2 linked regions of the Rattus norvegicus genome follow. The protein of the gene in region 2 interacts with the protein of the main gene of each other region in a pairwise test. Links are inferred from orthologs where the notes say so. Each region holds a gene or a part of one and is shown on either strand. Other genes may lie near its edges.

Region 1 (4,666 bases), on a different chromosome or scaffold from region 2:
AGCTTCCCATAGCCTCTTGCGGCTGTTGAGCTCTTCAAATCAAACTCTGCTGGCACACACGGGGCTTTCTTCCCTCTTGGCTAATGCAGATATGAGCTTCCCAGCCGCATTGTAGCAACACATTGCTACAATTAGCATGCACTCTCTTCTAGCTCCTAAGCCCACCCTTGCATTAATTTCCTGGTGTCCACGGGGTTGTGCTTCCTCTGGGGTTTGAGGAAGAATCCACTTCCCTTCCTCTCCCAGCTTTACTGAAGCCTCTGTGCTGAGAACAGCCTGCACTCTGGAATAGCCACCGTGACATGATGCCACGGGGGGGGGGGGGGGGGTGTCACCTGGCCATTACAGCTCTAGGAGTCCTGGTAAGTGAGTGTTCCTGAGACACTACCCTGACCCTGAGCTGGATCCCGATTACTCTTCTGGGTCCCATCCACAAGTGGTTCTGGATGTTGACTTTGTGTAGGTCTCTCTCTCTCTCTTTTTTTTTTTTTTTGGTTCTTTTTTTTTTCGGAGCTGGGGACCGAACCCAAGGCCTTGCGCTTCCTAGGTAAGCGCTCTACCACTGAGCTAAATCCCCAGCCCCCTCTCTCTTTTTTAAAAATATTTATTTATTTATTTATTATGTATAGGTCATACAGCTTTCTGCCTGCATGTACGCCTGCATGCCAGAAGAGAACCAGATCTCATTACAGATGGTTGTGAGCCACAATGGGTTGCTGGGAATTGAACTCAGGGCCTCTGGAAGAGCAGACAGTGCTCTTAACCTCTGAGCCATCTCTCCAGCCCCGTGTAGGTCTCTTTTCCCTTCCCAGTGTGCATGGCATGGGGGAACGTGAATGCTGGAGGTCTTTATCATGAAGTCTTCCGTGATGGACTGCCACAAGCAAGGATACTTAGCACACAGACCTTCCACAGACCCCAGGCGCACCTACAGAGCACACCAAGTCTTTTCTGTACTGGGAACCAGACACACAACCCTTCACGCTCCTTCCCAACCCATGTCATATTTATTGGCGTGAATCAAACAGATTGGCTTTATTTACGTCTACTGTCCTGGTATGGAATCTGATCTCACCCGAAAGTGTAGCCTTTGAGAACCCTAAGAGAAGAGATGAGGCCAAGATTGGCCAAGATAGGACAGGGGTTGTGGGTCATCTCGGCAGCACCAGGGGGAGGTGGGAAGATGGCAGATTCCTGGTGACTGGGGAGGAGAAGTTCTGATTCCGACCATGCAGAGAGAAGGAAGCAGCAGGATGGAGTCTCGTACATATCCCAAGCTCTAGGGGGCTAAGGTCTCTACTGCCTGACCTTCTGTACGTCCTCGGGCTCCGCTGACCGCGGGTCACTGCGGCCTGGAGAGGGGCGGGGCTCAGAAGCCAGAGAAGGAGGAGCCTGAGAGCGGACGGGGCGGAGCCATGTTTGTGGGCGTGATAGAGCGCCGAAGCAGGGAGGGGGCGGAGCTCAAAGGGCGTGGTAGCGCGGAGGCCTAGGGGCTGGGCTTTGGGCGGGGCTCAGGGCGGCCTGAGTGCGCTGCTGCGTTCCACTCTTCCGGCCCGGTGTTCCATCAGCTGCTTGCACCTTCCGCCCAGCGCCGGCTTTCCGCGCGACGATCGCCGAGTTCCATCTTCGCGTGGCCTCTGCGGCGCCCGAGCCCGCAATGTCGGGCCCCAACGGGGACCTAGGCATGCCGGTGGATGCGGGCACGGAAGGCGAGAATGACAGCTTCGGGGAAGCAGGTGACCTGGGAGGAGAGGGGTTGTTGCTAAGGCGACCTTTACTCTGCGGGGAGTACTGGCCTTAAGATCTGGAATCGGGCGGGGACGGGGGGCGTGGGAGGGCCTGAGGAGTTGGGCTCTGGAGTTGTCCCCACAGCCACCTCGGAGGCGATGGCGAGCAATAGCAAACAGATCCCTGAGCGCTGCAGTACTGGAGAACTGTCGCTAACCAACCCTGGTGTCTGAAACTGAGGCAGCTTCAGAGCACCTTGTCAGTTTGGGATTTGCTTCAGCCACTTTCCTCGCTAAGAGGGGGCGGTCATGCATGGCTCTGCAGGTGTTGGCCGGGTGGGCTCCCCACTATGCTGAGTCAGCACCCCAGCCATCTGGCTTTGCTGGTGACCTCCTTACTGAGTACTGTGCTTGGGTGCACAACACTGCCCAAGGACCTCAGGGGACGCATCGGCCCACAGACAGCTTTTGCACGTTTGGGAACCTCAGTTTTCCCATCTGCAATATTGGGCACATTGGTGTCTTCTGTATTGAAGTGTGTCAGAATTTAAGGGAAAATGGGATAGAAATGGTTAGCTTCTAAGATTCCAGAGTACAAGTTCCTTCTGAAAGCCGGTTCTTGTTTGTTTGTTTTGAGTGTTGTCAAGTCTGGTGCCTTACCTAGAGGGCAGGACTTGATTACTGTGCAATAAGGATGGGGTATGCTTTTGTTTTCTTATAAAAACTTTATTAAGCTGTAGGTAACACACTAGATTGTACCATTTAAACTGTACAGTTCTGCAGTTTCATATATTCACAGCATAGTCCTTGTCACAACAGGTTCAGAATATTTTTGTCACCTGGGTTCTGCCCTTAATAGAGGTTGTCGTCCATTTGGAGGCATAGTGGGCACTGTTGGACAATAGTGACTGCTGGCAGCCACAGTGAGCATCATGAGGGGACTAGGTGAGGTGGTGGCATAATTGAATGACATTGGGGTGGGGAAGAGGCTGTCCCAGGACTGGAGCAAGGGCTAGGAAGTACCCAGGACGTAGGTGGAGCCTGCAGACATCACCTCTCCTAGCCCTTCTGCTGGCCTGCCAGGATGGATGGGAACAGCTAGCTACCCATTAAGTGCTTGGTGTGGCCTGACCCCGACTGAGCTCTCAGTGTACTGCAATTGCAGAGTCCCCTACCCCACTCTAATAAGGAGTGCTGGGCTAGAGCAGACCTGGGACTCATGTAAGGGTCTCTGACCCTAGGTCTGAGTTTTGACCCTGTCACCAGATGGAATGAAGATGGACTAGCAGCTTGAGAGGCTCTAGGCTGTGTGAAGGATGCCCTCTGTGGGTCATGGGAACTGTCCCTGAGAGGCAGCACATACACACTCATGCTCCAGTCGCCCTCCCTGGCCTCTTCCTTAAAACCACCAGCTCCTTCCCTTTGTTCCCAAGTTGGCAGCTGGGTGTTTCTGAGTCATGGGCTGGCTCGGAAGTGGGTCCCGCAGTGGGCACGGACCCAGACCTTGGATCCTAAGGAGACACAACATTGCTAAGAGGCAGGTCAAAGAAGCTGTAGAGGACGGAGACAGGAAGACTTCTCAGAGGAGGGAAGACATGGAGGAGGAGGTATTTTGAGTAGGTCCTTGAAGGATTGTTGTGGCTGATGAAGTAGATGGTAGACAGTTAAGCAAAAGCAGGGACTGGAAAGCCAGAGCTTCATTCATTCATGCATTCACTCATTCATTCATTCAGTGCTTATTTGTGTCATCGAGGGCACTGGGGAGATAGAGAACACAAGACCCGTCACCTCCCCTAGAGCTTGATAGTTGAGTGTGAGCAGAGGGTGAGCTCAGACCAGCACACTACAGCAGTCATTTCTGAAGGGTTGCTGTGGAGAGGGGGAGGCTGGAGAACCAGGACAGAGTCTGATGTAGTACCGGACCCAGGGAGCCTCCCCTTGGTGACAGCTAAATTGAAATAAGCGGTGGTCATCCCAGAGGGAATGACAAGGGTGCCACCCAGTGCCTTCTAGGCAGGTCACCGGTCTATTCAAAGGGCCTGAATCGGACAAGGCAGGTGAGAGGAGCAGAAGGCTTTGAGCTGTATCTGTCAGCTCTAAGGAGACACAAGACCTTCTCTCTATCTTTTCCCTTCCTCCCAGAGTATGCTGCCATCAACTCCATGTTGGATCAGATCAACTCTTGTCTGGACCACCTGGAGGAGAAGAACGACCACCTCCATGCCCGCCTCCAGGAGCTGCTGGAGTCCAATCGGCAGACACGCCTGGAATTCCAGCAACAGCTTGGGGAGGCCCCTGGTGATGCCAGCCCCTAGGTGCCGGGAGCCCCCAACCAGGCCCCACCCTTACCTCTCTAGGCCATGTTCTGGCCTGGCTAGATACTACTTGGCTTAGACACCATCTCAGGTACTGGCCTCCAGATCCCCTGGTGGGTCTACCAGCCTGGACCAGTCCCCACTCACTGCCCATCACTCTTCCTGGAGTCAGGTGCAGTCCTACAGTTCACCCACTTGTCTGCCTTCCCAGCTCCTGGTCTCTCTCCCCTCCACCCAGATTGAGTGTCATATTAAAGAGGTCTCCCACACCACTGCCCCCTTCTTCTCTTTGTGCCCGGACAAGGACCCCAGTTGCCACTGGAGGCAGATGAGCAGAGACTGTGATCCATGGACCATATGATGGACCTGAGCCTTTCATTTCTGATCCCCAGGGTGTGGGTGAGGTCAGGGCTTCCTACCTGGTGTGCTGCCCTCCAGCAGCTGCTTCCGGTTGATGCGGGCATGCTGTATGACTGTGAGATACAGACAGGCCCCCTGGGCATTAGGGCCTTCCACCATGGTAACCACCCCTAGGATGTGAAGGTGAACCTTCCTGGCTGGCACTGACAAAGCCAGGCTGTCTGTCTCCAGTGGAGAGCTAAGGATGGACCCATTCACTGCTGA
Region 2 (4,193 bases):
TTCAGTCTTAGCAGGACCCAGGGCTTCCCCTTCCACTGGTGCTCTTACTAGGATATTCATTGCTACCTATGAGGTCAGAGTCCAGGGTCAGTCCATGTACAGTCTTTAGGTAGTGGCTTAGTCCCTGGAAGCTCTGGTTGCTTGGCATTGTTGTTCATAAGGGGTCTCAAGCCCCTTCAAGCTCTTCCAGTTCTTTCTCTGATTCCTTCAATGGGGGTCCTGTTCTCAGTTCAGTGGTTTGCTGCTGGCATTCGCCTCTGTATTTGCTGTATTCTGGCTGTGTCTCTCAGGATTAGTGCTAATTTATAATTAGACTCTGCGTGTTCTCTTACTCCTTCCTAATGGGCACTAGTGAAGTGTTTCCTTGGTGCCAGTCTGCTGTGCTCAAGTTGTCTTCAGCCTGCTGTGTGCAGGTATGTGGGGCTTGTGCAGCTTTTCATGGTCACTGGTAATCGATTCTCTTGGTGAGCTGCTTTTTATTTGAAAAGGGTCTTTATACACTCTGGTAAATGTATAACACACTAAAAGTATTTTCTTCATATTTGTAAATGAAAGAACAATTGAAATGTTTTGAATTCCTTAGATTCAAACCTAGGGCCTTATGTGTGCTAGGCAAGTGCTCTGCCCCTGGACTGCATCCTGTGCTCTTTAATTTAAACTGGCGCACAAACAGCACAGCTAAAGCTCCTGTAGCTTTATTTTGTTCAATACAAAGTTCAGCTCTTTGTCTCCCCTCTCTCTCACAGGCTGGGTGGAGCCCGCCATTACTTCAGCCCTCCTGCTTTAGTTGTCCAGTGCTGGAATTGGTGCGAGCCACTGTGCTGACTTCCAGATCTGAAGTAGACAAGGCTTAGAGAGGCTTCAGAGGACTAGGAAAGTGTTTTATTTTGTTGCTTTATAACTATTCATCTATTTTGAGAGAGAGTTACTTTTTAGTCCAATTTCTCATGGATTCATGGGCTCAAACAATCTTCTGGACTTATTAATCTGAATAATTATGATTATAGGTACAAAATACCACACCTGCCTTATAATTTTTGTTTTGTTTTAGTTTTCTTGCAACAGTTTCATATAACCTGGGCTGGTCTCAAACTGCTGTGTGATGAAGGATGACATTATACCATCTTCCTGTCTCTACCTCTTTTTTTTCCCCTTTTTTTTTGGAGCTGGGGACCGAACCCAGGGCCTTGCGCTTGCTAGGCAAGCGTTCTACCACTGAGCTAAATCCCCAACCCCTCTGTCTCTACCTCTTACCTGCTAGGATTACAGGTGTATGCCCCTACATATGCTCTTTGTGTGTGTGTTTTAAGATGTATTTTTATTATGTGTATATGTGTGCATCTGTGAGGATATGTACATGTAAATATAAGTGCCTGCAGAGGCCAGGGGACCTGAGTTCAGATGCCTAGAACCCATAGGAAAAGCTAGGCATGATCTCATGAACCTATAGCTAAGGGTGGATAAGTTAGGGTGGGGGTTTGGTAGCTGCCAGCTTAACTCCAGTTTCAAGAGAGAGCAAATAAGTGGAGAGTCTTAGGGCAGAAAAACCAATGCCTGTCCCCCCCCCCCCCCCCCCAAACACACACGGTGGGGAGGGGAGGAGAAAATGTATTGACCTCTTTTACAGATGGGTCTTTTTGGTGGAAGAATGTTGTAAGGTAGGAATTTGTCCTTTTGTGAGTGGATGACAGTTAAATAGTCTTTTTACTATAATACATTTTCACATAGACCTGGACTTGTTTCTGAATACTCTGTTCTGTTTTCTTAACAAGTCATACCATATATGTTTACTTTAACAGACCTTTTTAATGTTTGTTCAGCTAATTTTCTACTTTTATGACTCAATTTCTCTTCTCTTTAAAAAAAGAAAAGTTGGCTTTCCCAAGCATTACCTTTTCAGATGCAGTCTGGAGTCGGTGTGCCAATGGGGCTTTGGACTCTGAGTAAATTTAGAAGATTAATTTGAGCAAATCAGCATGTACTTATTCAATAAGTGAGCCTTGCTAGATTCAACTCAGTGAATTTATTTTAACAGTCATGTTTTATAACAGTATCAGGACGGTGATCAAAACTGGAGTTTTCTCATTATCAAGTCAGTCTTTGAAACTGATACTCTATAGTTAGCATAAAATACTGATGGTTGTTAACAGGAACTAATACGGCGTGATTTCAAGTCCTTGATTGACTCTCTTGTTGGCTTATGCTTTCTCAGACTAAGATGCTGATGGGTGAGGTGATGAGAGAAGCTGCCTTCTCATTGGCTGAGGCCAAATTCACAGCAGGGGACTTCAGGTAAGATGACTAACAGGGTGTTTGAAAATCTCACAGTGCCTTCAAGTTCAATTAATTAAAAATGTATAAAAACAAAGGATATAGTGATAGGAATACTTTTAATGTCATAACCTTAACTGCCTCTGCCTTCCTTGTAGGTAGCTGCCTCTTACCTTCCTAATGCTTTTAGTAAGTGCCAAGCACAGAATACTTGATATTTTGAAGCCCATTTTCACTTAATGTTTTGCCCTGTTTTCACAGGTTTGTACACTAAGAAGTTTTATAATTTATTAACCATTTTCCTAGTGTTGGATCTTTGAGTTGAATGCTTGATTTTTGAAATCTGAGGAAATGACTGTGAATATTTTCATGTGTCTAGGATACATTTTTTTTTTTTTTAGAATGGAATCCATTATTCAGTTGAGAGCTTTATGACTTTTATCACATCATTGTAGCTTGACAAAGTGTGCATGCACACTGGCTTGTGAATGCATTATGCCAGTGTATTTCCTCATGATTCTCTTAGTACCTCTGTGAGGCAGATGAATGGTGTTACCCCAGTTTAAAGTGACAGTGTTCCTGACTCTGTCTCTGGTTACAGACAGAGGTGGAAGTTGTTTCCTGGACTTCTTAGTTTCCTTTGTCATGACATGGGCCCTTCCTACTGTAGCAGCTTTTCCTGCCATGCAGGCCTTACGCCCGTGGCCCTGAAGCTAGTTAAACCCAAGTTTCCCTGTCTGCTAGTGTAGTTGGATAATGTAGTGGGATAATATAATTAGTTGCTCTAACTTTCCCAGCAGAAGGGGACTAATAGGACATTTTATGTGGTTAAGGGGAAAGTTTGTCTTTGTCTTTTGTAACAGATGGCGAGTGGATGACATCAGAGGAAAGTTAGGATAAAGACTACATAGCAGCTCACCAACTGAACAGCAAACCTCCAAGGAAAGGAAGTTCCTGCTAGGAATACATCCTCCAGAGTCACATTTCTACTCACCGAAACACCAGCCATCCACATACTTTAAATGTACTTATCCTGTACTGATTCAGCTGTTGTTAGTTCTGCACTGAGGGCCTCCATTACCTCTGTTGAGTTTTCTTTTCTGGAATAAAGATGATTACTGGGGGCTGGCAAGATGGCTCAGTGGTTAAGAACACTGGTGGTCTTCCAGAGGTCCTGAGTTCAGTTCCCAGCAACCACATGGTGGCTCACAACCATCTGTAATGGGATCTGATGCCCTCTTCTGGTGTCATTGACGATAGAGCGCGTGTACACACACACACACACACACACACACAATCTTTAAAAAAATGATTACTGACACATAATGTAATGTCTTATTCCTTGTTTCATCATCCAGTGTGTCCTTGTAGAGTTATTTTTGCAAACAAGGCTGAATAAAGACTGCCTCGCTCTCTTTCCTTCCCTCCTAGCACCACAGTTATACAAAATGTAAATAAAGCCCAGGTGAAGATCCGAGCAAAGAAAGACAATGTAGCAGGTAAGTGACTGCCCTAATCCTTGGAGGGTAAAGGTGGCAGCTAATCAGTTGCAGGACAAAGTCCCAGGTTCTCTTCAATTAGGAGCAAGTTGATGGCATGTTCAGACTTTAGCAGCCTAGTTCTAGGACTCGGGATAATTTGAACTTTGAGAAGAAGCAACTCTTGAGAAGACAAAGTCTTAAGTATAGTACTTGAAACCACTTCCAGTTCTAAACTTAACTCTTGGTGTTTTTTAGTATTTGATTTAGTATTTCTAGTATTTGATACTTAGTATGGAAAGCAGCACCCTTTTAAGGAGGCAGAGGCTGGCGATTTCTAATTTCTAGGCTAGCCTGGACTACATAGTAGAATTGTGTGTTTAAAAAGAAAAACAGCGGGGTTGAGGATTTAGCTCAGTGGTAGAGCACTTGCCTAGCAAGCGC

Evidence for each region. The genes of interacting proteins can lie anywhere in the genome.
Region 1: the proteins of Atp6v1d (region 2) and Bbln interact in binary tests that used the Homo sapiens proteins (3 or more experiments, as listed by UniProt). The two-hybrid records come from large-scale screens. The link is inferred for Rattus norvegicus from reciprocal best matches to the Homo sapiens genes ATP6V1D and BBLN.

What each region holds. Positions count from the first base shown.
Region 1 is NC_086021.1:36,071,970-36,076,635, reverse strand, and holds Bbln (bublin coiled-coil protein), read left to right. Parts: upstream 1-1,565; 5' UTR 1,566-1,657; coding exon 1,658-1,736; intron 1,737-3,869; coding exon 3,870-4,042; 3' UTR 4,043-4,311; downstream 4,312-4,666. UniProt on the Homo sapiens protein: Essential for intermediate filament organization in intestinal cells, interacts with intermediate filament and regulates intestinal lumen morphology.
Region 2 is NC_086024.1:103,395,094-103,399,286, reverse strand, and holds part of Atp6v1d (V-type proton ATPase subunit D), read left to right. Parts: intron 1-2,212; coding exon 2,213-2,292; intron 2,293-3,702; coding exon 3,703-3,770; intron 3,771-4,193. UniProt on the Homo sapiens protein: Subunit of the V1 complex of vacuolar(H+)-ATPase (V-ATPase), a multisubunit enzyme composed of a peripheral complex (V1) that hydrolyzes ATP and a membrane integral complex (V0) that translocates protons.